Nothobranchius furzeri: one gene and its partner. The protein of the gene in region 1 purifies or fractionates together with the protein of each later gene. This does not show direct contact. Links are inferred from orthologs where the notes say so. Each region holds a gene or a part of one and is shown on either strand. Other genes may lie near its edges. The genes, in order: orc3 and lrwd1.

What was found.
Region 2: the proteins of orc3 (region 1) and lrwd1 purify together in Homo sapiens (affinity purification with mass spectrometry; 4 studies listed by BioGRID and IntAct, with this or other methods). This does not show direct contact. The link is inferred for Nothobranchius furzeri from reciprocal best matches to the Homo sapiens genes ORC3 and LRWD1.

The regions. Positions count from the first base shown.
Region 1 is NC_091758.1:29,118,120-29,132,702, reverse strand, and holds orc3 (origin recognition complex subunit 3), read left to right. Parts: upstream 1-3,286; 5' UTR 3,287-3,382; coding exon 3,383-3,406; intron 3,407-3,512; coding exon 3,513-3,567; intron 3,568-3,650; coding exon 3,651-3,748; intron 3,749-3,821; coding exon 3,822-3,960; intron 3,961-4,055; coding exon 4,056-4,160; intron 4,161-4,255; coding exon 4,256-4,419; intron 4,420-4,496; coding exon 4,497-4,636; intron 4,637-4,716; coding exon 4,717-4,876; intron 4,877-4,950; coding exon 4,951-5,064; intron 5,065-5,147; coding exon 5,148-5,281; intron 5,282-5,363; coding exon 5,364-5,427; intron 5,428-5,499; coding exon 5,500-5,616; intron 5,617-5,714; coding exon 5,715-5,794; intron 5,795-5,993; coding exon 5,994-6,127; intron 6,128-6,194; coding exon 6,195-6,289; intron 6,290-6,368; coding exon 6,369-6,457; intron 6,458-6,543; coding exon 6,544-6,685; intron 6,686-6,756; coding exon 6,757-6,873; intron 6,874-6,953; coding exon 6,954-7,033; intron 7,034-7,337; and 3 more. Other genes in the region: znf292a (zinc finger protein 292a), read left to right, coding at 1-2,136; akirin-2, read right to left, coding at 7,985-7,995, 8,089-8,160, 10,403-10,552, 10,667-10,810, 10,942-11,113; cannabinoid receptor type 1B, read right to left, coding at 13,211-14,583. UniProt on the Homo sapiens protein: Component of the origin recognition complex (ORC) that binds origins of replication. DNA-binding is ATP-dependent. The specific DNA sequences that define origins of replication have not been identified yet.
Region 2 is NC_091750.1:30,538,489-30,554,477, reverse strand, and holds lrwd1 (leucine-rich repeat and WD repeat-containing protein 1), read left to right. Parts: upstream 1-1,080; 5' UTR 1,081-1,152; intron 1,153-1,548; 5' UTR 1,549-1,560; coding exon 1,561-1,664; intron 1,665-1,823; coding exon 1,824-2,058; intron 2,059-2,531; coding exon 2,532-2,651; intron 2,652-2,837; coding exon 2,838-2,984; intron 2,985-3,077; coding exon 3,078-3,170; intron 3,171-3,311; coding exon 3,312-3,650; intron 3,651-3,804; coding exon 3,805-3,922; intron 3,923-4,071; coding exon 4,072-4,178; intron 4,179-4,303; coding exon 4,304-4,514; intron 4,515-4,699; coding exon 4,700-4,772; intron 4,773-4,905; coding exon 4,906-5,049; intron 5,050-5,151; coding exon 5,152-5,258; intron 5,259-8,457; coding exon 8,458-8,619; intron 8,620-9,540; coding exon 9,541-9,650; intron 9,651-10,202; coding exon 10,203-10,364; 3' UTR 10,365-11,006; downstream 11,007-15,989. Other genes in the region: alkbh4 (alpha-ketoglutarate-dependent dioxygenase alkB homolog 4), read right to left, coding at 1-128, 211-399, 690-854; bckdk (branched-chain alpha-ketoacid dehydrogenase kinase), read left to right, coding at 11,800-12,045, 14,790-14,858, 14,935-15,045. UniProt on the Homo sapiens protein: Required for G1/S transition. Recruits and stabilizes the origin recognition complex (ORC) onto chromatin during G1 to establish pre-replication complex (preRC) and to heterochromatic sites in post-replicated cells.

The DNA of each region.
Region 1 (14,583 bases):
ATCCCTATTTTAAAACAGGAACCACTTGACATTGCAATTGCACCTCAGCCGGTTATTGAAAGCAACCCAAATCTCCCTGACATCCCTTCAGGAGAGGCTGTAAAACGGATCTCGACACCAGAGATGTCAACTGTTACACGTCTACCGTCTCCACAAAACTATCTGGCTGAAAGGATGCATGAAGACGTGGCACCTCCTGCCCTTGAAAGGCCTCCAGAGCAACCTAAGGTATCTGTCACAGACAGGAGCCCAGAGGTGAAAGTGAAAGTCAGTGTGAAAGAAAAATTGAGTCCTTTAGCCAAAATAAAGGTGCAGCAAGAAAATTCTGATATGTCACAGATTAAAGTAAAAGAACCAAAGCCCTCCGCAATGTCTGCTTCGTCTTCTACAGCTTCTGCATCATCCTCCCCAGAGAAACCAAGCAGCTCTAAAAGCACACCAACAAAGGAGGAGAGAAAAGAAAAAAATCAAAAAAGGCTGAGTTTAAAAATGTGCGACACAGACAATGCCTACAGCCCGTATAGACCTTATCGCTGTGTTCATGAAGGATGCACTGCAGCTTTCACCATCCAGCAAAACTTGATTCTCCATTATAGAGCCATGCATCAGGCATCGCTGCCCTCAAGCAAAATCGAATCCGAGACAGAAAAGGTCGCTGTTGTTGATAGACAGGAGAGCATTGAGTGCATAGGAAAAGATGACGAGGTCAGGTGTCAGGTAAGAAATTGTTCCAGGGTGTTCATGGGTATCACAAGGTTAGTGCAGCATTACCTCTTACTTCACAAGTTCACCTGCGACAAAGCCACTGCCATGATGGCCAGTATGACCCTAGGAACGTTTAACTGTGACCGCCCAGAATGTGCTCTCCCTTTCAACTCCGTGGAGAAGTACATTGAGCACATTAAGAATTTCCACAAAGAGATTGCTGTGTCTGACAGAGGATCAGTTGATCCAACCTTCCGGTGCCAGTATGATGGATGTGACCGTGTGTACACTACAAAATCAAACCTCCTTCGCCACCTGATCAAAAAGCATGATTATATTTATGATCCCAAAGCGAGCGACGGAAGACGAACTAAATCAATCGGGCTCTTTCCAGGGATTAATAACGGGAAGGAGAATGTAGACAATAAATTCAAAATGAAAAAGAAAAACACTAAAAAGAAAGACGGGAAATCCATTGAACACTGGACTAGTTTTGGCAAGCCTACACTAAAAACCCACGAAGAGGCATCAGCCATGTGCACCAAGAAGTCCCCCCTGCAGTATCCGTGCATGATCATCGGCTGCGACGCAGTAGAGCGGGCTGAAAGAAACATATTCAAGCATTACACAACTCATGGCCTCACAGAAAGATACATAGAAGATCAGAGAAGTCAGTTCATTTTCTGCAAAAAGTATTCACGCTCCAGATTCAAAGATGCAAACAAATTAGAAGGAGCAGAAAGTTCTTCTTCTGAAGAGACGGAGCTTGAGGAAAGCGTGAAGCCTATTGAGGGGAAAACGGAGGAGACTTTGGTGGTGGAACAAGAAAAAGTCGAAGAGAAAGTCGAAGAGAAGGAGGACGCCAAGCTGTCCAACGATGATAGCGCAGAATCTCAAGCTTCCAATGGCACAGGAGTCGGACCTAAAAGGGGGCGTCCTAGAAAACCTTCACAGCCTACACCAGCATGTCCAGAAAGGATGCAGACCCTTAGAAACCGCTTGACTGTTAACAGTTCCGGAGAGAACTCAAATCCCGGTACCCCTTCGACCCAAGAGCAACGAGAAGATGGGGCTTCACCGGGATGTTTCAAGCCTTTAGGACTCGAGGACTCCTTCCTCAAGTTCTTGGAAACCTCAGAGACAACAGTTTCTTCTAAACGTAAAATAAATGAGAAACCCAATTCTGAGGTGCCGCACAAAAGACAACAGACTCCCAAACTGAAATCTGGAAGTAAAAGTCAAATGACGAACGACATTAGAGGTTGTGAGAATCTTATAGACTTCAGAAACCCTGTAAAGCTAAATTCTGTGAGTAATGTAAAAATTGTTATGGATAAAACATTTTCAGATGGTGCTGAACTTTTACTTAAGCAGCTACAACATATGAGACCCACGGTTATTATAAAAAAGAGGATTTTTAGTGAATCATAGCTCATTTTGTTGTTGTCTTTTTGTTTCCTACCCTGTCTTACTCAGGATTTGAGACGTTATGCTGCAGAATGATTTGTTTCTTAATGCATCAGATTTCCAACTGTTAACAGTCATGGTCACAGTTAACAATGAAATGGCCTATTTTGTACCTAATTGAAAAAATATGTCTCTGATGATTTTAACTATGTATGTTAGTTATAATAACCAGGTAAGCTATAGGGCATAGATTTTAGAACCATGTTTGTATTTATGCTTAGTACTGAATATGTTTTTTTTCTTTTACTAAATGGACACCTTTTAAAGAAAACTATGTTTTTATAAATATCCCTATGGGATTTCGAGTCCTGTTTGTATTTATTTCATCCCTTTTCAACACTAGTAGACCTATCTGTAATATTTACATGTCTTCCACAAAGTGTTCAATAAAATGTTACTGGTTCTTTTTTATAAAAGCACGAGTGAAATCTTGTCTTTTTAAAAATGTCATCAATTTGATCTACAAATACAACAACACAGCTGCTTAAACCCAGTTATTCATGAAATTGTAACTTCTTGAATTAAATAAACTTTCAAAGATGATCTCATAAACCATTTTAATTTATAGCACATTTAAAAACGGCATGATCAAAGTGCTGTACACGGAAGGATTAAGATTCTGGGAAAGGGATAAAATGCAGCATTCACAAATTGGACGAAGCTAGAGCCAGTTTAAAAGATTTAAATTATACTTTATTATAATCTGCAGAATCACATTCATAATGTATTGTCAATATGTTTACTTTATTCATAAGTAGTTTATGAAGCTGTTCTGAATTTATAACAAGCTCCATTTTTATTTTTATTTAAATTCAAATAAAGCCAAATTACTTTTAATCTAAAACTAAAAGATGTGGTAAACAAGACTAATACACATTGTGGATTACATGCATTTTATAATACACAGAAAATGTGTTTAATATTTGAGTCATTCAATTTTTAGACAGCTTTGTGATATTTAAATATAAACACACAAAATAAAATATATGTGTGTGATCACGGTTACATTTTGTTGTCTATTATATTCTATGGCGGCATCTAATTATATGCTATAGCGGCTACATCTAATTATATGCTATAGCGGCTTGCCATACATTCTAACACTTCCAACCTTTTCCGTAAACGTCACTCTGGCGGGAAGTCGCGGCTACGTTTCATGAAAAGTAGCGTTTTTTTAAAAAAGAAACTACTACAAAGAGTTTGAAGAAAGATGGCCACCTCTTCTGTTTCAAAGGTAACTTCTTATAGCTTGTTGTCGTTCAACGACGTTTCTATTAACAAAAATGGAGACCTCGCGATATTTGCGTCAGACTCGACTGTGTTTTGCTGTGTCCCTTTAGGGCTGCTTTGTTTTCAAGCCCAGCGCTAAAAAGAAGAAAAAGACCCTTGATTTGGGTGAGCTATGTTACATTAGACAGAGAAGAGTTGTTAGTTGGATCTGTTTGTTGCGATATAAACGTGTCTGTATTTTTACACAGAGAGCTATTTCACTGATGGCTGTGAAGATGCACGGAGCAGTGAGTTGAGATTCGAGCTCTGCCAGGATCTGTGGGACCAAATCAAAACTGAGACAGAAGTAAGAACAAATTATAATATCAAAAAAATACAGAGAATGTGCAGATCAGCATAATCTTTTTTTTTTAAATAAGATTTTACAGGATGAGCTCAACAGAAAAGTTCTGGACAGTTTGTTGGAGTTCACCAAAAAATGCTCCTCCATCCGCCATCACAGTGACTGGACCTCACAGATGAGAGCAAGTGAAATTCCCACAGCCGCTCTCATCCTTGGTACCCAGTAGTTATTGTTTTGTTTTTTCAAGCTGCTAACTTGCATTATTACAAAAATCCCGCAAGCTGCATTTGACTTTCATCTCTCACTGCAGGCGTGAACGTCACAGATCATGACATGACCTTCCAGAGTCTGTCTGAGCTGCTCCAGACGTCTGTCACCCCCCATGTGGCGTCTGTGCAAGCCAAAGAGTGTGGAGGTGATGGGAAAAGCTTCAAAATATACAAACGCGTCAGGATTTTACTGTAAATGTCACAATATTCAGGAGTAGACTTTTTGGTTTTATTATTTCAGCTCTTAAGCATTTGATGAAGAAGGTTCTGGAGAGATTGATGGACACGGTTGTAGCTGTAGGTGATGATGATGATGATGAGGTGGAGGAGGAAACGGAGCAGCACCACAGGAGTGTTCACTGCTCCTTGACGACTCTCTGCGATTGGTATAGTAAGAAAACAAAGGTGAGGACACGACGCAGGTCCGCTCATGCAGGTTTTTAATTCGGCGAGGTGAAAACAAACGTTTTCTTGGGTTTAAGAAATCCAGCAGTGGAACTCCCGGAAAAAAGCGCAGTTCTTTGGTCGTTAACGAGCAGCAGGAGCCTCCGGTGGTGATCGTCTTCAAAGATTTGGAAGCTTTTAATCCGAGAGTTCTTCAGGACTTCATCCTTGTCTGCAGGTGACTTTAGAGCAGACACGTGAGAAGCTCTCACGGTTTACGTTGGAAGGTTAAAACTGCGTCTGATGATTGATCCACAGCCGTTACGTTCAGCGTCTTCCCCTGATGTTTATCTTCGGGATCGCCACGGCGCCCAGCACCATCCAGCACATGCTGCCTCACTCTGTGTCCTCGCTGCTGTGCATAGAGCTCTTCCAGTCCCTGTCCTGCTCTCAGCATCTCACCACCGTCATAGAAAAGGTGCCTTCACCGTGACATCTGTGCATGCTGATCGAAGATTTTGAATCTGATAAAAGTCCATCCCTTCTTTCCAGTTGATCCTGACACATTCTTTTCCCTTCAAACTCAACGGGAAAGTGATGCAGGTGCTGGTGGGCATCTTCCTCTACCACGACTTCTCAGTCAAAAACTTCATTAAGGGCCTGCAGGTGAGGATCGGGGTCTAAACGAGTAAGGTATGTAAATGTAAGGGACTGATTTTCTCCCGACTATCTTCCCGTCCTGGGTGCAGCTGGCCCTGCTGGAGCACTTTTACTCGCAGCCCCTCAGCGTGCTGTGCTGTAGGAAGGAGAAGGCTCTGCTGAACCTGAAACACCTTCGCCATGATGACCTGGAGAGGGTCAGGCAGCTCCCGTCGTTCAGGAGGTGAACAAAACCAGCTGAGATGATCATTTTCTATAACTGAATGAAAAAAAAAAAAGCTCTTTGTGTTAAAATTCGTTTTTAGGTTTGTGGAAAAGCAAGAAATAGAAGAGCAGGAAAAGCTCAGGACGGATGACTCTCATTTAAAGGTTTGTTAAAGATTTCAGTTTTTAGACGACTTTTTTTTTGTGCACAGGATTTTATCCTTTTTGTGATTTTAGAACGTTTGTCAAAAACTGATGAAGGATCTTCACAAATACCACAAGTGCTATTATCCCATTTTGAGGTGTCTCCACACTCTGACCTCATCGTTGCCTCGATACCCTCTCGGAAAACAGGCAAGAAAACAGTTTTAAACTTTCATTTAAACCATCTTTTTGCTTTGGTCTCACTTCGTTCTTTGATTTTTGGAGTCTCCTTTTTCTTACTGCTGCAGATCAGGGAGCTGCACTTGATTTGCCTGGAGAAGAACGTGTGGGAGGCGGAGGAGTACCAGTCAGCTGTGAATCTTTTAAAGTAAGCTGAGCTCAACATAAAACTTGTAATTTTTTTATTTTTTGAGGCATTTCTATTTAGCTATTTTGATGTAAACGCAATGCCATCTCTCCATTCAGTTGCAGCCAGTTAGATTTGCCACTAGGTGGCGACAAAGTTGTGGGATTTTTAGAGGTGTTCCTCCCCCTGGTGGTCAGTATTTTTGTACTTTTTTCTTCAGGATGCTGGCGAAAGACGAGCTGATCTCTTTGCTGCAGAAATGTGCAGAAATCCTGCAGCCCATCAGGTCAACTCAGATGAAGAGTGCTTGCGTCCAACTGGAGGAACTACTGTCCAAATTCCAGCAGCTGGATGGTAGTTCAAAGCAGGATTTTTAAGTTTTTTTTTAATTTATGATCATAATCTTTTGTTGTTCACACAGCACCTGCTACTGATCAGAGTACCGCTTCAGAGGAAAACTTCACCTCTCCAGTAAAAAACCTTCCAAAGAAAACAGATCTATTCCAGCTGCAGAAGGTACGTCCATCAGACATTTTTTTCTGTTCTTTGACGAAATACTTTTTTAAAGCCGTTTGGACATTTGATCTACTTGCAGACGCTGCTGGAGTCTCGCAGATCCAGGAAAAAGAGTCCGTTTGAGGCTCTACGTAACGAAGCTCTGGACTTTATCGACACTTTAGTGAAGTAAGAAATGAAAAATAAAACTTAGATCCACAAGAGTTGATTAAAGTAACAGAATAGCTAATTTAATGTGTATTTGTGCCAATCAGGAGTCACCTATCCCCCCCAGAGTCTCAGCCGCTGTATGAAGTCTGCTACTACAGTTCTTCAGCTGCTGTCAGACGCCACCTCAATGCTGCACCTCGCACCTCCATTCAGGCTGCACTCAGCAGCCCCTACCACTACCTTCAGGTTCGTCTTCATAAAACAACAGATTGCTCCTGTGGACGACGGTCAGATGTTGACGGTGGCTTTATTTTCAGAATGAGAGCTTAAAGTCCGACGACGGCACAGTGTCCAACTCTGCTCCGGATATCTGCATCGCATACAAGCTCCACCTGGAGTGCGGCCGACTGATCAACCTCTACGATTGGCTGGAGGTGAGTGAGACGAGCGTTTAGCTCCAGAGATGAGCCGATTTTCTGTCGGAGAGGTTTTGTTCGACTGTTTTTGTTTTCAGGCGTATTCCACCGTGATTTCTGCTGCCGAGGGGACCGATCCAGACTCCGACGGCTTCGGGAAAGTGGACGAAGTCAAACAGCATCCTTTCTGATTTCAGTTTCTCTACTAAATCTGAAAATTTTCAGTTAGAAAAACAAAACTAACAGTTGAGCAGCTGAAGTTTTTATTCAAACAAGAAGGGAAACATAGTGACACTTCAGGGAATTCACTTGTTTCACATGTTGAAGGGTTACACACACACACGCACACGAAGCAATTATGTCATTTTACTTTTTGCCCCTAGAAAATGTAACAGTCCTTGACAGCAGATGTGATCAGACTGATTTCATGGAAATCAGACAAAAAGATTTAAAATTTGTTTTTCCTCAACTTTTCCTTTCAGCGCTCGTTTCATCCGCGCCGTGGCTGAGCTGGAGTTTCTGGGCTTCATCAAGTCCACGAAGCAGAAGACCGACCATGTGGCTCGACTCACGTGGGGAGGCTGTTGATCTAATCTTCAAGGGGGGAAAAAAAACATAAATCTGTGGTTTTTGTGCTAAGTTGGACTCAAACGCACAGTTTTTCTGTAAATAAAAATCAAATGTCCCTGATTTTCTTAAGAGATATCAGTAAGGGGTGGAAATCTAATTAAAAAAAAATTAGCCCTCACTTTATGCCTATTAAAAAAAAGAAAATCACTAAAGTTCTTGCACTCCCTTTCAGATTGACCAGCAAATCCTATAAAATGTTAGAGATTTCCTCATATTTACATGCAACAAGTCTGGAATGCTGGGAGTCATTACAAAAGTAAGATAGCTGGAGGGACAGAGGCCACTGGTGGAGACGGGGGCCGCTCATTTACATCAGGAAGGACACGGCTGCTTACAACACACTGCCAACAACAGCTTCATTCAAACCTTGTTTTGCCCAACAGACGTATGGCACGGTAAAAAGTTTCATTTAAACTAGCTAAAATCAAATCTCTCCCAACGAGGAACTCTTAAGAAGCATCATGACGAGCTCGCTTCCTGCAAAGCGTCGGTGCCACACTCAGGAAACATCTGGAGAAGAGAGATGAAATACACAAACCAGACCCGTTAGCTGAATCCAGGCCAGTGGAGCAGGAATGTGGAAAGAAAAAAAGAGGAACTCACAGCTCGCCGGCTGCTCTCCGAATCGTCGCATTAACTGATCGTGTGTAAATTTCACAAAGGTGTCGTATTGTTCTGGAATTTCAGAAAGGAATCGGTTAACGCTGCCGTCACTCAGATGCAACACGTTAAAAAGGAGAGGTTGGGGAATTTAAAAGCATGTCTGGTGAACTAAAATGTGTTACAGAACATGCTCCATCTGATGGTTTCAGCAAGTTTGTGATTTATTCCTGCAAAACAACAGTAACCTCAGTTTAACTGACACTCTGGACATTTTGATCAAACACCAGTGCTGGGAGCGTTGCTATTAAAAAGTAATTATAGTTACGGATTACTTTGTCAAAAAAGTAAGTCAGTTACAGAGTTACAAGATTATAAATGTAACTAATTACCAAGAAAAATATTTTGTTCCTTTTTTATTATTAAAGCAAGAAAAATGGGGTCCCTTCTTAATTAAACTTAATTGACTATAAATTATAATAGTGAAATATAAATGACTGGAACACAGTAAAACATATGTCCAAGTTTTTTTTTCAAAAAACTGAATCATTGAAATAAATGAACACTTAACAGGAGGAACTACTAACGGGAACATTACACTTATCTAGACTTTTAAAATGTCACTGTGTGATATTTAACAAGACCCGAATCAACTAAAATTTACTATTGCAAATAGAAACACATGTAAAGGTTCCTGAGCCTTTAAATGGTCTCTCAGTCTAGTTAAATTACTGAAATAAATGTAATTTTGCACAGCATTCTAATTTGTCCAGCTTCACATAACTGTGTGTTTTAGTAGCATTTCTGTTGCTGATCTAGTAATGGTTAAATAAATAAATAAAAATCCTTTAAAATGACACTAGAAGAGACACAAATCTGATTAAATTTACTAACTTGGGTCAGACCCAAACACAGAAGAGCTGAAGCTGGGTGGTAAACACACACACAGGTAGTTCTGGTAACACCTTGAGACTGATGCATCAGTGTTACAGCGGGACTAAAATGATCAGAAACAGGTCACAGCTGGATGATCTAGGAAGGTAGAAGATCAGGACGTCCGAGCGGTGAACAGGTGGGCGGACCTTCGGGACATCCTGCTCAAACTCTGCGACTTCCTCGCAGCGCAAATATTATGAGTCATGTTTTCACACCGTACGACCCGGTTCTCGGAGGCGACCTGACTGCTCACACCGCACGTCTGGTAGCAACACACTGGATCTAAAAACAGCCGTTTTTACACGACACGTTGGACTTGTTTTTGTGTTGTTATTGATGTCTGTTGTCCTTCGGGAGTGCTGCAGGAGGACACGGGTTTAAGGGGGTTGGAGGAGGAAGACGAATGGAAAAGTAGATTAACGTTTTATCAGTTTAAGCAGCAAACATGCTTTCTTGACTATCGTAATTGTGTGCAAAAAAAAGCGTATAAATAAAAACGAACAAGGCGTGTATATAGGGCGAGCCGTGCTGACGCATGTTAGTGCATGCGCCGTGAGCGGTTCTGGTACTTTTTGGGTTGCAGCCGCTTGAAGCGCCGCTTCAACAGAGCAATACCCTCACGAGGGATGAGCAAACTAGCAAACGCCAGAAGTTCCTGCGAGCTTATGATTGCTGATCCATAGCTGGTCACGTTCAGCGCAAAACTCACCCCGATCTCGGATATTCTCACACGAGGAGAAAATTGGCTCAAAAAAGTGAAAAAATCGTTTAGTGTCCATTTACAGATCAGCACCCAAAGATCCTAGATGACGAGCGAAGATGAGTCACGAACAGTAAGTTGAGTAGATATTTACATTTTACTGTAATGTCTAGTGGTTAGTAACTGGCAAAGTAGCTTGAGATATTCTTAGAGCAGACAATTTGTTTTCTATTTCACTGTTAGCTCAAAGTTAGCCTCTAGTTTACTTTACCCGATAGAGTAAAACAAAATGATTGCGTGGCTTTTTAGAGGTCGCGAGAAATAACTTTACAGTCGCTCCTGTTACTGGCTTAAGATCTTTCCACACCGCTGCTGCTTTTTGGGGGGCTGCTGTTGAATAAAAGATGCCGGCACTGCAGCGAAGACTTGGAAAATTTGAGGGCTCACGTACGACTGGCTCTGGAACCAGGAAGTATGGAGGCAGGACAGACTGTAAACAAAGACCAAGTCCCTCTCTGGCCATTTTGAAAGGAGAAAAACTCAAACCCCCAGCTAGCTGTTTCAATTGAACCTTCCTTAACTTTACTGAGACCTTGGATAGTTTTGTGATTAGTTCACTGTAAAATTATTATTTATTACATCCCTCTACACAACATTGATCTGAACTGCTTCTGCACCAACCTGCCAACTTTGAAGTCATGGTCTCCTCATACTCCTCTCGCACCTTCTCTTCCCTTTCTTTCAGCAGGCGCTCACAAATCATCCCAACTTGTCTCAGAGTGAACAGAGGTTGTTCTTTTCTGGTTGGAGAAACGCCTCCCGAGGATGTCCCTGAAAAAAAAAAACAACAACAACATTAGTTTGAATATAGAACAAGGTGTTTGAGTTAATGTCAAAGCCATTTCATGAGTTTTTTTTACTGACTGGATTTCCACTCTCACCAACCTGGCATGCTGGAAACATTCATGGTAGACGCTTGGGAAGGGGACTCTGGAGAATAGCAGCACTCTGATTGTTGGATGCCTCCATCTGGATGCTTCCTCTTATGAATGCGTTTGTACTCTTGTTTGATGCTGTTGAGGATTTGTTCTAGTGGGTCAGAAACAGAAATGGGGCCCATCGGGTGTTTAGGTAACCCGTTTAAACCGGTGTTTGGTGATTTTTAGATGTGTGGATCAACATGTGTTAATAGGCCAGTTGGCGGACAGCAGTGGCTTTACCTGCGCTAAGTCTGGACGACGACTGTCCAAACGGTGAGGGCTCCATGCTGAGGTACTTCCTCGGGGAGGAAGACGAAGGGGGCACGGGGACACATCTTCGTCTTTTAGGTGAAGCAGGACTCATGAGCGGATCGAAATCCATGGTCCGTTTTAGGGTGGCTCCACACGCCATAACTTCAACTTGTGGAAGGTGGTTTAAAATACTGGCAATAAAGCAGTAATTAGACAACAACGAACCATAACTAATGTATGTTCTCAGTTTAAAGTAGGATTTGTTTATATTATCCGATAAATGCCTTTTAAACACTGCGCTGTTCTGCTTTCCTAAAAGAAGCTATCGTTAGCAAACCGATAAAAAAGAAAACAACGGTAATGCTAGCTTTGGATGTCGCTAAACGAGGGTGTCTACATGTCTTTTTGAATAAACTTAAACGTCTTACCTCTTGTTGCAAAGCAAATCTATCCGACAGCGTTAACCAACTCTTGGTGTTGTTAAAATTGTTTTCCCAAAAAGTTAAAGGGACGAGCAGCCAGCTGCGGGCCAACAAGAGCCAACAGATAAGGACTATAGCTAACGCTGCTAAGCAGCCTGTTTGTTGATTCGACACTGTCGGCTTCTTTGGGTTGTCACGTGACGCGCCAAACAGGGACGCTAGGGGTTATGGGTTATGTAGTGAAAAACGAGAGGCGACAAAATGATCTTGGACACGGGACGAAATACGGCCTCAATTAAGCTAAATTTATGCTTTTGATATTAAACTTTTGAATTTAAAAGTTATTACTCTGCTGACGTAGAGTATTTGTTCATCTTTTCTTTCTGCCTAAATGAGTTAATCCACAAGAGGGCGCTTTGACACACCCCAAATAGGAAAAAAGTTGAATTTACAAAACTTTTTTCTCAGTTAATTTAAATGCAATCACTATGAGTTTCTTAATAAAGATTATTTGCGTTGTTAAAAATATGAAAATAAAGTCCTGCAAGATTGCACAGCAGAGGTTTAGCTGAAATGCTGTTTGTGTACGTTCCAGTGTGGTTGCATTATTTGGATTGCATTTAGTTGTTGGGATGTGGTTGCAATGTAACCAATTCATCATATTACCGGTAATATACATTACCAGTCCTCTAAGGCTGAACTGCTCACAGTGATTTTATTAGGTTAATAAGTAGGTTAACAGGTGTTATGCACATACATAAAAATAAAAACCATAAAAATAATATTTATATGCATGTCATTTATATTATTAATAAAACAAAGCAGAGGATTAAAAGTGGGGGCTTATTTATTTTATTGTGGAAAAATTACCAGACAGTTTGACAAAAATAGATTGACATGTTTACTAAGCACATGTCAGTAAAGTGACAAAATGGCACATTTCACAAAATATGGCTGTATTACATGTAATAAAAGCAAATTTAAAAAGCAAAACCATGCAGAATTATAAAATATCACACTTAAAAATTATTAGATAAAGAGAATTAGTTCAAATATAATAAAATAAATAAATAAATAAGACGATATCCATACAAAATAGTTGTGGCCAAATTTTACAATTCTATGGTCTTTACATTTGATAATGACACTGTACAATTCACCACTAGCGACAAGCTTCTTTTATTTACAAGCATATTTTCTCACACTGAATATGGTGCATGGGTTTGTCTTAAATCACCGGCACAAGATTGCTCATATTATGTTACAAAATAATCACAAAAGGCTATTTTTTGTGTTTGTTAAAAGGAAAAAAAAAACCTGCATTTTCAAATAAAAAAGATTACATTTTTGAAAGTTGTCCCAGAAAAAAAAAGAAAATAATTACTGAGCAAAATGTTTTAGAAATATGCATTTTATCAAAAGTCAAGTCAAAGTCATTTTATTGTCATTTCTACCACATGTGCAAGACATACAGAGAAATGAAATTGAGTTTCAGTACACACAATTCAGAGATCAGACATACATGGGCAAGACACATGACAAGAATTGGTGACTGTGGTCATTCGCAACACGAGTCGCGCTACCTTAATAGATGAGAAGGAATTACATGAGGATAGGTTGGTGGAGGGAAAAAAGTACTGAATAAGATCAGACAATCCACAATACAATCAAAACTCATCCTGTTTATCTCAAGTTTTAACAATAAGTTCTCATTAAATCCCTGCAGTTCCACACTGCACCTAAGTTATTTTGGCACATTTCACAGTAACAAAACTCTTCTGTTAACAAACTCAACTAAATTTCCAGTTCTTCACACTTTTGCAGCACTATGTTTTTCAGACAGGCTCTGCCGTGAAAGTATCTGTACCTCCAGATATGGTGACCTGGGCCACTTTTACTTGGGTCTTTCTACAAACACTTCCATCTTTCCCCACCCCACCTGCTGCCGCCCTCACACTCCTGCTGTTCCAGTCGCTCTCAGTGCTGTAGTCCAGAGTCTGCGTCCCTCCTCGCCACATGTGACAGATGTTGATGAAAGCCCTCCTAAGGTCCTTGCTCCTCATGGCGTAAATGATCGGGTTCACAGTGGAGTTGAGCAGGCACAGCATGCTGCAAAAGGCGAACACGGTCTTGATGAAGTCGTTCACTTTCCCAAAGAGGTCGTACACCATGATGGCTAGGAGCGGGCCCCAACAGATGATGAGAGCCACCAGGATCAGGACCAGGGTCTTAGCCAGACGGAGGTCCATCCTGGCCTGCTCAGGCCTCACCGTCTGCACCTTTGCCCCCTCTGCCGTGTAGACAATCATGCTCCTCTGAGAGCTGCGGCTCAGCATGCGGACGGCGTGATGGTGAGACTTCCAGAGGATGAACATGTAGGCGTAGATGATGAACAGCAGCAGGATGCTTGTAATTCCAATCCAGAACATCAGGTACTTCTGGTCGATCAGAGGGAAGATGTCGGAGCAGACCGAGCCCAGACGCTTGCAGTTCCAGCCGAGCAGCGGCAGCAGCGAGATGACGATGGAGATGGACCACATCAAACTGAAAGCGATTACCGCCTTAGTCTTTGTAACGATGCGCTTGTACGCCATGGGCCTGTGGATGGAGATGTAGCGATCAATGGCGGTGAGAAACAAGCTGCCCACAGAGGCCGTGAAGGAGGCGATGACTCCTGCCAGCTTGAAGAGGAAAACATTTGGCGTGTCCTTCCTGTGGAGGACATGAAAATCCAAGAAACTGTAAACAAAAATGATGCTTCCTATCAGATCGGCCACAGCCAGGCTGCCTATGAAGTGATAGGAGGGCCTGGATCGAAGAGTCTGAGCGTGAAGGATCACACACAGCACCATGAGGTTTTCCAGCACCGTAAAAGTTCCCAGGGTGAGCGCTAAGATGACGATGGCGAGCTGTTGACCGGGAGTGAGGATCATAAAGCACTCCAAGTTGTCCACAAAGTCCTCAGTGCACTGTGCAGCTCCACTGTTCTCCACGGAGGTGGCGTTATCCAGGACAAAGTCTGACACGTTGGTGGGAAAAATGGGAGAAAGCGCTGTGAAAATGACCTCCTTATTCCCTGGGATGAGTTCAGGAACGGAGCTGCTGATGGAGGCAGAGTACGGTTTCTCAAAGTGGAATCTATTCTTAACCAGGCTGGAGTCAGCGGAGGGGTCGTCGTAGCTGGCATCGTTGGAGCCGAGATACTGGA
Region 2 (15,989 bases), on another chromosome or scaffold:
GGTTGAAAGCCCGCAAGATTTGCATCTTGCTGCATCCGCAGCACCAGTTTTTGGCTTAAAGCAGGAAGTCCAGTAAAGTCTGCGATGCGCACTTTTCTCTTCTTGAAGTTTACTTTAGGGCCAAAGTCCTGCAACCGTGTAAAATGAAAAATTTGAATGTTAAAAATATGTAACCCACAAAAAAGTACATTTTCATTAAATGTTTTCCACCTGTTTCCTTCGGCCAGACTGTGAGGGATGCCACACATCCTGGTCCATTACGCTAATCAGCTCCCTCTCCTCCTCCTCTGATATAAAGTTCTCCCACAGGAAGACTCCAGAAAAAGGGAAGGAAGAGCCCTCTTCATCTTCGCTGACAGCGAGCCCCGTCTTGGCATTATAGAGGAAATGATGCACAATCTTCATACCAAAAACAGAGATAACATTAATAAACAAAAGCTGTGATGACATGTTTTAATTATAAAATTTCATTTCACAATAAGTAAAGATACATGCCGTCAACATTTAAATAAACCAGGGTTGTATCTCATTATTTAAATCAAATTTACAACATTGTACCAGAATATTGTCAGAACAAACAAGAGTGATTTTTGATAAACAACACAATTTGTCCAGTGAGGGCTTCCGTACCAAGGTTTACAGACGTTACATCGCACATTAAAACTGAGATTTTTGTTCGACACACGTACCTTTGACTCTCTTGTTTCAAGCAGTACACTCGCCTTAAACGTTTCACAGACAAGACAGCGTCGGATGCCTTTACAAGCGCATGGAATAACCCCGTCGCCGTCGTCAGAGACCATCATCATCATGTTGCATCTTCTTCTACTTGGAAATCGTAGCTCCACTGCCATCTAGCGGACGGAGCCGCAGGCGTAAAATTACTTCTTTTAACCCCTATTTTCGTTCTGCCGCACTGTTATTGGCGCATTAAAATTTCAAATAAAACAAAATATGACAATACTTAGTAATATATGTGATAAACAAGAAATATAATAATCGAAAGTCGTATTTGTTTGACTTGTCTTACAGCCAATGTTCAGGGTAAACTGTGGCCAAAGTTTTAGGTAAACCACGCCCACCGGATGTAGACGGAGTTTCCCCGGGAAAGGTCAGTTGTGTTGCAGACACAAAAGTTGCAGAGAGGAGTTGGTAAGTAACATAAAAAATACTTTATTAAACATTATTAAAGGTGTTTGCTCATTTGTTATGGCTAGAAAAAGAGTCAGTTATATTACTAACTACTAACCTAGCAAAGAGTTGATTAATCGATCGTGTCAACGTGGTTATGCTAGCTACTGCTAAAGTAAAACCAATCGAAATCAAACTAACAGATTCAGTTTTACCTTGCTGAAGCATGAAGTTGATTTGGTTATATTAAATTTTTCTCAGTAAAGATGTCACTTGGCAATGGCATCGTCTCTTTACTAAATGAAAAAATGCTAAATATTTAGCTCGTTTTAAGTACAGACATTATTTAAACTTATCAGGCCATACAACTTAATCAGTGAGTGCGAATAAAAGTTTAACATGTTATTTTGCTGATAGATTCCACATTAGATGTCCTTTTCCAGCAGATCAGCTATGGAGAATGTAACAGAGAAGCTTTTACTGGAGAAAGGTTCTCCAAAAACCAACAAACTGGAGCAAATCAAAACTCTGAAGTAAGTCTTCCCCCTTGATTAACTATTTGTGTGTTCTGGTGAAGTCACTCTTTTATCAGTTGATGACTAATCGCATTTAATAGTAAAATTAGTTTTACTTGCAGATATGAAGCTTGATCTAAAATCCCCATGTTGACTTGACGGGTTTCTTCTATTTAGTCTGTCTAAGATGGCGCTGAAGCACGGGGATCTTCCTGTGAAGCTGCTATCCCGCCTGCAGTCCCTGGAGCGGTGGGATCTATCCGGGAACAGGCTGCAGGAGCTTCCAAAGAACCTGAAGCTACCTGCACTTCGGTACCTGGACCTCACCAACAACCAGATGGAGGATGTCACCACCTTAGAGTCTCTGAGCAGCTTGGAGGAACTAAAAATGGATGACAACTTTTACATCACAGTGAGGACTTGGCTGTTTTTGTCGCATGTAATCCAGTACCGTTCCGTCTCTGTTATAACATAAAGGACGGAGCTGCCTTTTTAAAATTCAAACTATTCGATTGGTCTTATTTAAATGAGTGGTTTAAGTATAATTTCTGTCTTTGAATTCATCTCAGAACTTTACAGAATCGTAAAACGTTACCGTGGCATCTTTTGGAGTCTGGTTGTTACATGTGATGCAGTTTTTCCACCCATGACTATTTTACCGCGACAATATCCACATGAGGTGAAAAAAACAAACCAAAAGGAAGTTTTCCTCTAACGCTGTCATCAGATAACTACTTCAACAAGTCTAGATGTTTTATTAGCACGTCTTTTTGTTCTCTGCAGCGCTGCAGCTTTTCCTTTTTGTTAGATATTCCTTTATTTTTGTCTCAAACTTTAAAATTCTCTTTTACAACTGAGATCAAGTCCTGACTCTGTTATTTTTAGATAAGTGATAGTTACAAGCTGATGGTGTTGCTGCCCAAACTGAGGATTTACAACAACAAAGATGTCAGCACCACTGCCAGCCACTTACGATACGTGTTCAGTGACAACCTGAGGACCAGGGTATGAAAACCGTTTAATACTTTCGTTTGAAAACATTCATGATGATTATTCATTAGACTTTGAGTTAAGCTGTGGCTCTCGATTGCATCACACCTCTAATGTTGCATTTTAAAAGGAAACGACCCAGCTGCTGCACTTTCTCATCATATCCCACACTTGGGTCACTCAGCTGCTGCTTGATTTCAGATAGTCACAGTTTGGGAGCGGAGCTTCAGTCTCCCAGATCCCATCACGGCCGGCAAAATGTCCGATCTGGAGAAGAACTTTGTGAACGCTGCTCGTCATCAAGTCAAATTTGGTCCCAGTTCAGTCAGCGATTTCACCAAATGGAGGGCAAGTCCTGAATTTACAAGGATCTCTGGGACTTTTTTGCTAATTTTCATCCCTTTTTAACAGTTTTGTTTTTACTTCCTTTTGATTTTTCAGGTGGAGATTCTTGCTAAAGAGCATCTGCGCTCACTGACACAACCAAAAGAAGACTTCATCCCCAAGGAGTCTGCTGAGGCCACAAAGAACTGTGTAAGATTGCTAATCAGCACCTTTTATTTAAACTTCACTGTTACAATACTGTCATTGGCACAAATGGCGTCTCTAAATAAAACTTCTTGCTGTTTCTGTTCAAACTGGGTCAAACATTTTACTCTATCTTCCTTTTCTCAGATAATTTCCTCGCCTTCCAAGAGGAAACGAACCAAACTGGTGACAGATGATAAAGTAATTTTGACGCCTCACAAGAAGTTGAGAGTCAACGCTCTAGAATCTTCAGCTGCTGAAGACAGCCCTCGCAAGTCCCGCAGGGTCTCTCTCCGGACAGACGGGGCTGTCTCCACTCCCACCAGAGGACAGGCGAGGACAGAGACGCCCAGGAAGAGGTCTAAATCACAGCAACTCGAAGAGGAAGAAGTTCGGGTTGAACAGAAAAAAGAAGTCAGCAAAACCAAACAGCTGCACAGGAGTCAGTACACTCTGCCTATAATAAAGATTTGTACTAAGAGTCAGGTAAAGAAACACACAGATGACTCCTTTAGATGCTGTAGAACCACAAAAACATTCCAGTGTCGTCGTTTATTCCGTACAAGACACAATCTTGTCAGACAACAACCCACAGGGGTTTGTGTTCGTTCTCATCCGTCTCTTGTGTGTGATCCTCCAGCAGCCGGTGCATCTGAAGCCTCTCCACGTGCTCCAGTGTCACAGTAAACAGGACAGCTCCGGGGACTTCTCCACGCAGCTGTGGGCCTGCGCTTTCCAGCCTCTGTCAGGCTCCTCTGGTACTGATGAACCCCTCTGATCCACTCAGATTTATCAGAACAAGTCCTCCGTGGTTTACAGCAACAGCTGTGTATGAAAGCGGATAGCTAACGCTTTACTAGAGTTGTTTGTGAGGCTCTGAGCGAGCTGTGAAACCCTGCTTTGACAGGCTGTTGCAGTGAAAGCCGCCTGGTCGCTACATGTGGAGGAGACTCTCTGTGTGTGATCGACTGTGAAACGGGAATGGTGATGAAGAAGTACAAAGTTCCAGGAGAGGTGTGTGGGTTGACCCTAACCCTTCTCTGATCCGTACAGAGCAGAGCGACTGTTCAGGTTTAGCAGTTAAAAGCTGCTGCTGTGTGGCCGTTGGTGCTGAATTGGTCTGCTGTTCCTTGTCACAGGAGTTCTTTTCCTTGGCCTGGTCCATTGTGTTGATGTCCCGAGGAGGAAAGGCTCCAGTTCAGCCCTGCAGCATCCTCGCTGCCGGTGGGAAGAGAGGACTCGTCAAACTGATCCATCCCAGGAACAACGTGGCCTACGGCGAGTTCAGAGCCAGCAGAAAGGCGCTCTCTGTCCTCCGCTTCAACCACAATCAGGGAAACTTCTTCTTCAGTGAGTTTTAGTCGGGTCAGACTCAGGAACGGGCGTCTCTCACCAGCTTGTGTGATGATTCTGTTACCTGCTGATCTGTATGTCACCTCACCTGACCTGATGAAAACCAAACAAAGGTCTGGGATTTTTCCCGTTTAGTTTTTAAACGACGCTCCTGATTAACGTCTGTGTGCGACCTCTTGCAGCCGGATCTTATGACAACAAGATAATCATGTGGGATATCGGAGGAGTGGACAGCAGTTACAACTTCAAAGTTGTGTGAGTTTCTTTTATTCTAACTTGTGGAATCTGCAGTTTGGATCTCTACCCGACGTTAGCGGTGGAAAACCAGGCCAGATTTGAGTCAGTCATGTTTTCTGCTTCCTTACCGTCTCTCATTCCTCCCCACCAGTCAGCTGCTGGTGTTGGAGGTCAGCGCCACTCCCCTGCACATCTGCCTGCCCCCGACTTCCCCCGGCTCACACCTGCTGACCGCCTCAGACGACGGCCTGCACTGCTTCAACACACAACTGGGTACCAGCAGCTCCACAAAGAGGTAAAAGCATTCAGTGGATGAATAAGTGCAAAAGGGCAAAGTGATGATGAGGATCTTTAAAGCGACACTTGGATTATTCAGTAGCCTTTTGTTTTTGCTCAGCAGGTCAAATGAAATGGAGATTACGTTTCCCATTTACGAGGAGGAGGATAAAGAACATGACTACCACACTATCGACGGCCTGAGCTTTCTTACTGATGACATAATAGGTGCGTGAGGTTCCTCTATTATGTTCCATGTTCTGTTGCCGTCGTTCAGTTCGTGGACCGAGTCGGAGCCAGAGCCTAGACTGAATCAGAAGCAGTTCTAGTAAATGGTCACATGGTGGCGCTGTAATCCAGGTAGAATGTAGCTTTTATAGTGAGTATCACACAACAATCTGTAAAACTGACCTGCGATTGATCTGGTTGTTTATTTATTTGTCTCACGTTGGCTTTAAATATAAACAAGATGGCTCGGTGTCCTGTGGCTTAGAGCAAAAACACCTCGCGCTTCTAGAGTCCGAGTTCACTTTTTAACTTCCTCTTTACCGGGTTTAATGCAGTCCTTTTGACACAGCCAGGGGAAGAAGGGTCACAGAAATGAACATCGTGAATGATTTGGTAGATCCTTCTGAAGACATGACATTCCCAAGCGTCCAGGAGGAGCAGTGATGTCCCGTGTGCTTTCCAAACCCAAATCATAGATTTCTAGATCATCAATTAGAATTTTTTTGTTTTTGCAGCCAGCCCAGTTGATCAATCACTCAATCAATCAAAGCTTTATTTATAATATGATTGAATATGATTGATTGATTGACAGTTGATGGTGCAGATTTTGGCTGGTGAGATGGGCCGAACCCTTTATGCGGGGAATTCATAGACATTAAAGACCAAGTTCACTAAGAAAACCTTTTTACTTGCCATTCGGCGCTATATAAATAAACTGAATTGAATTGAAATGAAACAAGATCAGTCCCTTCACATGCAGGCTGAATGTGAAAACGGTCTCCTCCCCTACCTCCTGCTTTATTATTTCTTGAGAATAGAAAGTAGACGGGGAAACGCTCAGACTAGAAAAGCCGGTCAGATCTGTGTCATACTGGACATTAGCATTCATGGACTCACCCATCTTGACTTGTGACGGGATAGGCTGGTTTTGATTTAGCATTCTGCAGAGAGATCACATCTCGGCCAGTAGAAGCTAACTGTTAGCATTAGCAACTCCACCACACAGCAGAACTCCTTCAGGCTTGTGTTATTTGTGGAGATGAAGCATCAACAAGCGAACAGAGGCAGCGGAAGCGTCTTGTTGCTGTTATCCAATTAGATGCATGATGTCTGCATATCAGGAAATAAGACTCCAACTCATGCTGCGTTCCCCTGATCTTGCTAACTTCTAGTTCCTGAAACAGGAGCGCTAGAGCTTTTTTTTCCCCCAGAAGTCGACTCACAAGCCATTCGTTTATACCAGAGACCACCGCAATTCCACAGAAAATGAGTGAACTTGGTCTTTGAAACAAAAACGTAATTTTTCATCAAAATACCGGATTTCTCACAATTTCAAATTGTATTGTGTTCCCATGTTGACGGCCCAGCATGGCCTCCTCCCTTCCTCCAGTAGGTATTATTAAACTGGTCCATTCAAAGACCGATGGAAATGTTCATTTCTCCCTTTTCTGTATTTCCTCATTTATTTCTTTTCATTTATCGTTTTTTTTTTTTCCATCAGCCACTTCCTGGCAACTGGAGGAAAGAGATGTTAAATAGTGCAAAAATCTAATTTCAGTTCATGTACATTTGGGTAATCTCTTCCACAACTGTACTCCTAAACGAGTGAATAACATAGAAAACCCCAGAAGATGTGATCAAGCCATTGTCTTCAGCAGTATCTGTTCTTAGGACGCCCGGTCCGTTTCAGTTATTTGGGAGTGCTTAAATGCATAATGATGCAGATGTCCCACCGTGATGGAATCAAGCTCGTCTCCCTCAGTCTGATCACCGCTCTGCAGATGGGTGCTGTCTCACACAGAGAGCTCAGGCACGAGTGCTGAGCCTGCTGCTCCACACCCTTTTTATCCACGACAGTGGAACAGCACAAGCATGTGCTGATCACACTCACCGGGCTATTCACCATGTGGAGGGTGGGGTTGAAATACGACAGAGGTGGCAGGAAAATAATCTTTCCCCAGACACAGATAATACCGAGAGGATTACTGATTGGATGAGACATTTCGGGAGTCAAGACAATAAAATTCCTCTCAACACGCATCAGCGAGGATCTCACGCTGTCTTTATATGAAATCTTTAGAAATTTGGCAACCAAAACTCCTTATTACAAAGCAAGCTCTCAGAGAAACGGCTTTTATTGTTATTTAGTAAATACGACTGGTCACTCTGAGTTTAACATGCAGGCTGAACACGAATTCTAAAGGCTACAGCGCTATGTCACAGTGAAAATTAACATTCATGGACTCACCCATCTTGGCTTGTGACGGGGAAGGCTGTTGTTAATTTAGCATCTAGGAGAGAGCAGAGCGCGTTGTAGCTAGTAGAAGCTAACCGTTAGCATTAGCAACTCCACCACATGGCAGAACTCCTTCAAGCTTGTGTTATTTGTGGAGATAAAACATCAATGTTGCACAGCAAACAGTCAGTGGTAGGGTTGCGTTGCTGTTATCCAATCAGAGACAAGATGTCCAAATAACAGGAAGTAAGACTCCAAGTTGTCTGCTGCTCCCAACTGCTCTGGCTCACTTGTAGTTCTAGAAACAGGAGCCGTAAAGAGATCGACTCACAAGGCATTCATTTCTACTAGAAACCATACCAAGTTTATTTGTACAGCACATTTAAACACGGCATGAGGGCCGACCATAAGCTGAACAAAAACACAATAAAAACAATCAAAAATAAAAACTAAAACCATTCAAATCGAGTAATCCAACTCGAAAAGAAAAGGAGAAAGAGAATAAGTTAGACTGAATTAAAAGCCAACGAAACCCCTGCAGATGTGTTTAAAACAAGAGTGAACTTCGTATTTAACCTCCGCAGAGGCACGGCGGAGAGCGACCCACCAGCTCCATCACTGCGTGGCATAGAAACTGCACTATGCAGGAGAGGAATCCTTACCTTCTCTCCTCTACAGGACATGTGCAACAGCAGGGCGTGGAGAGAACACACCCTGCTTCTCTCACAGATGCAGGGTTAGGGTCTGCTCCAGAAATGAGAAAATGACAACGGCAACAAATTTATTCCAGTGCCTGTTCCTCCTGACTGCTGCTGAAGTATCATTGAGACCCGTTCAAAGCTTTTCTACTCATCGTCTCTAACATTGGTTTGTTTATGTCATGCGAAGCAAACCAAGTAAGGATGTAACTGCACGTTTTTTGTGTTTTTAATGTTGACTACCTTTGTCTGTTTTAAACCAAAGCCTCTAAGAGCCACATGCACTGTTCCATCTATCTGTGGAGCTGGAGCAGGACCAGGTCTCAGCGGCCCAACAAGGAGAGCAGATCGGTGTGTGCGGTGGTTCTGGCTGAGCTGCAGTGGGCCAGTACGAATATCCCCTACCTGGCTCTCAACACCTGCCCTGGTAAGTGCCATATCATCCACTCGTTGGTGCAGTGCAGACTGTCATAGCACAATTCTTGCTTTGTAGGTTAATTTAAAGGTGTGGAACTCTGAAAAACATTTTACTGGTTATTTCTGATTATAACTGGCCACTGTGAGTATTTCATGCAGGCTGAACATGAAAATAGTCTCCTACACCTATCTCCTACATTAATCTCTGCTAGACAATGGAAGGTGAAACTCTAGGATTTGAAAAGCCTGACGGATCTACGTCACACTGTCACTTAATATTCACGGGCTCAGCCATTTTAACTCATACGGGAAGGCTGTGGTTGTTTTAATGTCCGGGAATCAGCAGACAACATATCAAATCGTAGAAGCTAACCGTTAGCGCTAACAACACCACCACACAGAAGAACTCCTCCAGGTTTGCGTTATTTGTGCAGATAAAACATCAGCGTTGCAAGTCAGTGGTAAAGTTGCTGTTGTCCAATCTGAGGCGAGGTGTCCAAAACCAGGAAGTAAGATTCCAAATCCTGCCGTGTTGTGCCGCTCTCTGCTGCAGCGGTCTTGTCCGTGCTGATCCAAGCGTCTCTGGGCCCGAGTACGGCTTACCAGAGACCGCTGCAAACGTATTGATTACATTTGTTTTCAAGACCAAGAAACGAGAAAACAATTGCATACTTATTGTAAAGTTGCATAAGTAAATCAAACGAATCATATTAAAATATTTTTGTGTGTTTTTATTGAAAGTAAATGTTTGTGATCCTCCAGTTGTTTTAATTTGGGGATTTTGGCCAGCAGAAATCAGCCTCCCTCTTCACAAATGTTTATTTTTAAAGAGAGTTGTCCCTAAACCACCACAGTTATTCTTCTGACTCTGTTTGGATCCAGATGTTTAATCATGTTGGGTGCTTTGTCCTGGTGTGTGTTTTCCTTTTAGGGCGGGCCTACATAGCATGTGGCGATGACAAAGGCCGAATATGGACATATCACGTCACCAGTCTCCCGAAAAACAGCTTTCAGATTGGAAAACCCATTCCTCCCACTCAGGTGTTTACTTCGACAAAACAATTGGGTTTTCTTCTTAAAAATAAAAAATGTTATGCCTCTAAAACTGTTGTGAAGAAAAAAAGAAAAGGCATTTGCTTGGTTGCACAACTGTACTTGCTGCTCACAGTAACGTGAAACCGTTAAGTTAATAGTAGACATGTGAGAACACCGTTTACTGAAAGGCAGCCAGATTAGGGGAGGGGGGCAGTAAACAACCAGGATGTAAACAAACCTCCAGATCAGCCAAACAGAAATCAAACAAATCATCATCTCTGTTTCAGTTTCATGCTGTTGTCTGGGCTGTGTGTGCACCCATGTTTAACTAACACACCCATAAGAAGGTAGAGGAGGTAGCACCAGGCCTAACTGTAATTATGGTGCTAAAATGTTACCACGAGCTACAAAGTTAAGAATGTAAATGTATAGGTTAGGCTTTAGGTTGAGAAAACGTAAATAAAATTGACACAGACTACTTTGTACACACCTGTTGAGGTGTTGTCTGTTTTTAAATGACGTAATCCACTGAAGCTTGGTCCTTGGTGTTTCTGTCAGGTGTTGGAGTGGCCGTCCCCGACGAGGAAGGGCCTGGGCCTGACAGAGGGCCCCTCCATCAACAGTGTAGCTATGGACCCAGAGCTTCGCTACCTGGTGGCCCTCACTGATAAAAATATGGTGATCGTGTGGAGGAGAGAGGACGTGAACTCAGAACTGTAATGTTTGTTCTGTCTGAAATGAGCTGGAAGTACCACATGTTGGTATTTTCTACGGTAGTCAGATTACTAGCTGAAAATGTGAATTTTTATTTCACATTATGGACGACACACCCAACATCTAATAATCCTCTGAAGGAGCAGACACATTTTTAAATATATTTTGAAGAAATTTATTTTCTCCACCAAACAGCATCGTCGACTTATTGATGACAATTTTTTAAAATTCTATTTTATCTTTTTGTGGAAATTTACTTGAAACTTAGATTGACTTATTTTATTCTTTTTCTGTTTTATAATATCTTTTTTTGTCTGTGGAAATAATATTCATTGTTTGAAAATGATTCAAATTTAAAAGAAAGTTATTACAACACTACACACACTTAAAAAAAATTTCCAAAGATGAGAAAAATCATTCACTTGTCTTCTGAAAAGTCATTCAGCTGATGCTGCTTTAACTGATGTCCTCCATGTCTGCAGGATGCATAACAGACAGCTAACACATTAACCCCCATGTAATTCTGTTACTCCCACTGTCTGAAAGATGGTTAAAGTTAAACAAAATCAAAGTAATGTGAAGTTTGTTACTGGTTAATGGGTCTTTTAGAGTGCTGAATGAGCTGAGTGTTAAGATTTTACTTGTTTTGTTTTTGTTTTGTTTTTTATTGTAACTGTATTTTTTAGTCTTGTTTTTTATTGTAACTGTATTTTTTAGTCCAAAATGTTGCTAATTTTGTTCCAGGTTTTGTGAATAAAGTAAGATTATCTGGGAGAGAATACAGAAAATAAAACAATTCTTGTAAAAAATTACATGGAAAACTTTAATTGAAAAAATTGTCTTTAATTATTTAACACAACAAACAATAGTTTCAATGAATGTTCCCTAAAAGTTACATTCTGAACAAACCTCTAGGGAATGTTCCCTAAAGGTTGCACTGAACGTTTTCTGTGGGTTCCAGGAATAAAGACCTCCAGCTTTCAATTTGACTTTCATGGAATCTTTGGGGAACAATTACTGCAAGTTCCCTATAGATTGCAACATTAACCTTTGGGAACTGTATTATACAGTAACACTAATATACAATATTTGTACCATATAAAGATGTATCTGTTCATATTTTCTTAATTTTTGTACATTACTCCTACCAGTCTATTAAAGGCTTATGAGCGCTCATTCCTCACGAGTACAGTAGTCTGTGCCGTGGGGGCGTGGTTGTAACATAGCCCCGCCCCTAACCGGCTGACCGATTGGCTCAGCAATCATGTCGTCTCCTTGGCTCTCTCCCACTGGCCAATGCGCACCAAGGCCTTTCTGTCCCCCTCGCTACTGTATTCAGATTCATGCCTTTGTGCAACAGGACAAGACCCTAATGGCCTCATAGCCATTTAGTATCCTGGAGAACTGGCCAGCTCTGTTCGCGCTCACGGCTAGCCCCCAAATGCGTCCGGGACTTGTGGGTAAAGCGGCCGAGATGCTGAGCGGTGTTAGCAGCTTAGCCAGGCCGAGGCTCAGTAGCCTCTTACTGGTCCCCGCTACCAAAACATCACCACCGATGTCGGGCGCCGGTAGTCAGAGGTTTCGCTCGACATCCTCGGCGCAGGGATTTTCAGAGCTGGCAAGAGAGCGGTCGAAGACTGTCACTTCCTTTTATAACCAGTCTGCAATCGATGTTTCTGCAGAGAAGGTAAGAACTGGGTTTTTATGTCATTTTTCTCCTCCTGAAAGGCGAACGTGCATCTGTGGCGAGGAGGGACTGAGCTAGCCGCCGCTTGATAGCAAAGAAGCTAGCCGTTAGCACGGTTAGTGTTGCGTTCAAGGATAAGAAGAAATAGCAGTAAAACCGAATTTTTTTCAGGCTACTTTGAATAAATAACATGTAAACCAATGAAATCAAGTTCACATGTCACGGACCAAGTGAGAAAATGAACCTCGTCATAGTCTCTCAACTAAAAGATTTTTGTCTCCAGAAACACCGAAATTCGGATCATTTAAATATTTTTAATTATCTCCCATTTTTCCGTTTTCAAAATGAAAATAAAATTACATTAAAACTCTAGAGCGTTTTTTGCTTACTTTACACAATTTAAATTCATTATACGTTAAATATACTTATTACTTAATATGTGTGTCTGTAATTTGTGAAGTAGTCACGGAGCGGCTGTGCTCTTTTACGTCACTTTGAACGCAGCGTCGTAAAGAACATCTTGTGTAGCGAACATCCTGAAAACGAGCTCAAGCACACATCCGTAGAAAATGCATGAAAACGGCTGTCCGTGCAAAGATGTAATCAGAGTAAAAGTGTTTACTCGTGAAAACAACTTAATACGAACCTTCTGCGAAGCACTAATCATTACTATCGTTATTGATAAACAGTACAAACAACAGGTAGAGCTTCTCTCACTGGCAAAGCCAGGTGTTTTTGTTCCTGGTAGAAACCTTTGTAAAGTTTTTTTATGGTCACGTGTTTCCCAGATGTCTGTTGTTAGCAGTTTTCGTCATCCAGTTAGTCATCCAGAATTTCCAAAGAAGCTCTTCACTGCAGCAAAAGAGGAGGGAATTAGTAGACTCGTGTTGTTTTAAGTTGCACAACTAACACACTTCTTCCGCAATATTAACTTTATAAAAACACATAAATCTTTATGCTATATAGGGAGATGTGTGAATATTGTGTGCATTTTGCATGGCTGTGCAACTTTGTTGCAAGACATTAGTGCACCGGGACAGTTTTCCATTACCTGTTATGGTTGAGTTCACAAGGTAATAGAAGAGACAAAGGGACCATATTTAGGTTGGTGCTCTTGTGGAGCTGAAAGAACTGTGTCAACTTTTTTATCCTCCACTTGTACTTTTAAGTTTTACATAGTCACACACATTTGTTCTCTTTTACAACTTTATATTAAGGTAAACAATCTTAAAAATGTTTGACTTGGGTGTTCTCGGTCACCTGCAGATGTGGTCTAACCGGTCCAATCTTGTTTTCCTATTTATCCAAGTTACAATCAGCATGCTCATAAAAGGAGTACACTTGTAAAATCTGATTGTATTCAGTGTTATGTTTACACACACTGAACTGTTGTGAGAATAGCAAATGTGTACTTTTTCCAGGTATTCTTTTACATCCACACTGAACACAGTTTGAGTTTCATAACATTCCCTTTGTTTTCCAAAGTATGTAATTTTATCCAACTGCAGCTCCAGGACATTCATATTTAGTATAATTCCCATCATTTCCCATCTCTTATCATTTGGTTTTTCTAAATCTGAACTTTATTTACTAAATTGATAAGATAATTATGTAATAAGGTAATCAACAATTCGTTAGGTAGATAGTAACATACTTTGTCAGCTTTGTCAACACAAAGGGATACTTTGCAATGTTTTCATATTTTTAAAATCACTTTCTTGAGCCAGAATGTGCGAAAACAACTCTTTACAGGGTTAATGAAATGTCACTCAAACCCCAAACGCCCTCTGAGGCCAGAATACCGCATTTGCAACTTCAGAGTGTCAATCCGGTCAGTTGGAATTAGAAAAAAATTGAGCTGACATACCTGGTGCTGCAGTCTGCTTCCAGCACGTTTCCTGCATGTTTTAGTTCGTGAACAGAGCTGATTTGTTTAATTTAGTGATGAATCGCTCCTGTAGACACCAATGAATGCTGGGGAGACCTTTCTGCTGATAGATTAAGGTGTTAAATACAAACACACAGCAAGGAGATGAGTTTTGCTTTTGATTCTACTAAACGGACACTAGGGGGTGTAAAAGCAAGCCAAAACTACCTAGTCTTTGTTTAATAAGTTTCCCGCTCCCCCCACTGGTTCAAAGCAAAATTACAATGGTCAGAAACGTTCTGTCTTAGCCTGCTGTAGCTAGTGCTAACATGAGCCTACGGATATTTTATAAGCTACAAAGTAAAATGATCCACACTGTTGGACAAGTCTAGTAACAACATAGCCAGGTCAGTCCGTGGCTTCGTAGCCTCCTTCAGCCGTCAGTGTAGGCGTCTCTGATGTTCAGTTTGGTTTTAGCTCTTTGCTTCTCCTCCAAAGGCATTACTCTCTAACTTTTACTTCCAGGCTCCTCCATGATGCTAACAAAAATAGCTACATTATGTTGCTTCTTCTTGCACGTTATAGTGACTGTTGTTGAACTGAAAAAGCTAACTGCTTGCCTTCATATTAGCTGCCATCACAGTAAAGTCTATTGCTGTAAAGTTGGTAGAGACGCCACATTAGTTTTCCTGGTCTGCAGAGTGCTGTCCAGTGTCAAGATGTTCAGGTTTCTGGCTTACGAATCACAGAAACCAGTTTGAAAGCAATAGATCAAAGTGTTGCTTCAAGATAAATTACGGTTTAAGAAAAACATGTAGATCAAAAACCTTTTTTTTAAATTAAATTGTTTATTTCAGTTATGTCTTTCTCGCCCAAGGCTTCAGTTCGACTAACCTTAGCAACCCTCCTGTATTCTGGGAAGTCTCCTGATGGACACCACATCCTGGTAAACACTTCGTCCACACAGAGCATGCTGCATCGCACTAGTCCTCGCTCACTATTATTTCTGTATCTGATCTCAGAGCAGTGCCAAGTACCTTCACAAAGAGCTGCCTGTGCGGATCGCCCACCGCATCAAGGGCTTTCGGAGTTTGCCCTTCATCATTGGCTGTAATCCCACCATCCTGCAAGTGGTAAGAACACAAAAACAAACGATCATGCAGCTTACGTGATTCTACATAGAACCAAACCCTGCAGCAGATGCTCCAGGACAGAGAACATGGGTCCTTCCAGCTTGGTGTTGTCAAGTACGTTTGCTTTAATCGACCTGCTGGCTGAGATTCATTTTGTTGCGGTGTGTGTTTTCTGGCTTGTTTGGTGTTTTAATCACTGCCGATTGGAGCTGAAGCTGATAAGTACCTTTCACAGCTGCTCTGTGAAGAATGTAGATTGTATTTTTCCCACAACAGCTGAGAGTGGGAGTTAGTTAATTATCTCTCACAACCCTTAAGTCCACCATCAATGCTCCTGTTCCCACTAGGGAGGGCTTAGTGTCACTAAAGTAAAAGAACAGAACGGTTCAGTCCCAAGCTCAGAAGTTTACCCGACATTGAAATCTGTGACTTTGACAAAGGCATCTGCATTAAAAGACCAATCAGACCGTTGATTTGCTGCATCAGAGCTGAAACACAAAGATCAGCAGAGTAAATAAAGTCACTCAAGCGTCACAACAGTGGTTTAGTATCGGATGCATCGCTCTTCTGGTGTGAATCAACATAAATGAAGGGAAGTCAAAGACTAAGTGGATTAATTACTCCTGGCAGCTTTCACTAGACAAAATGTTCTGTTCCCTTTAGCATGGCATGAAGCCATTTTTGCTGCACAACATATGAACCAAAAGCAGACTAAACACTCCTGATTGTTTAACACAACAGTTTGAGCCACAAATCTCACCGATCTAACTTATAAATTCCTGTTCACACTTAAAAATGTGGAGCACTCATTTAATCAATACATTTGCAGTGGTCTCTCTAGTAGGAATGAATGCCTCGTAAGTCAAACTCTGGCGATAAAAAGCCTTGGTGCGCCAGCGGCCAGTTACGGGTAGTTACAGAAATTAGCCACATCAGAGCTGAGC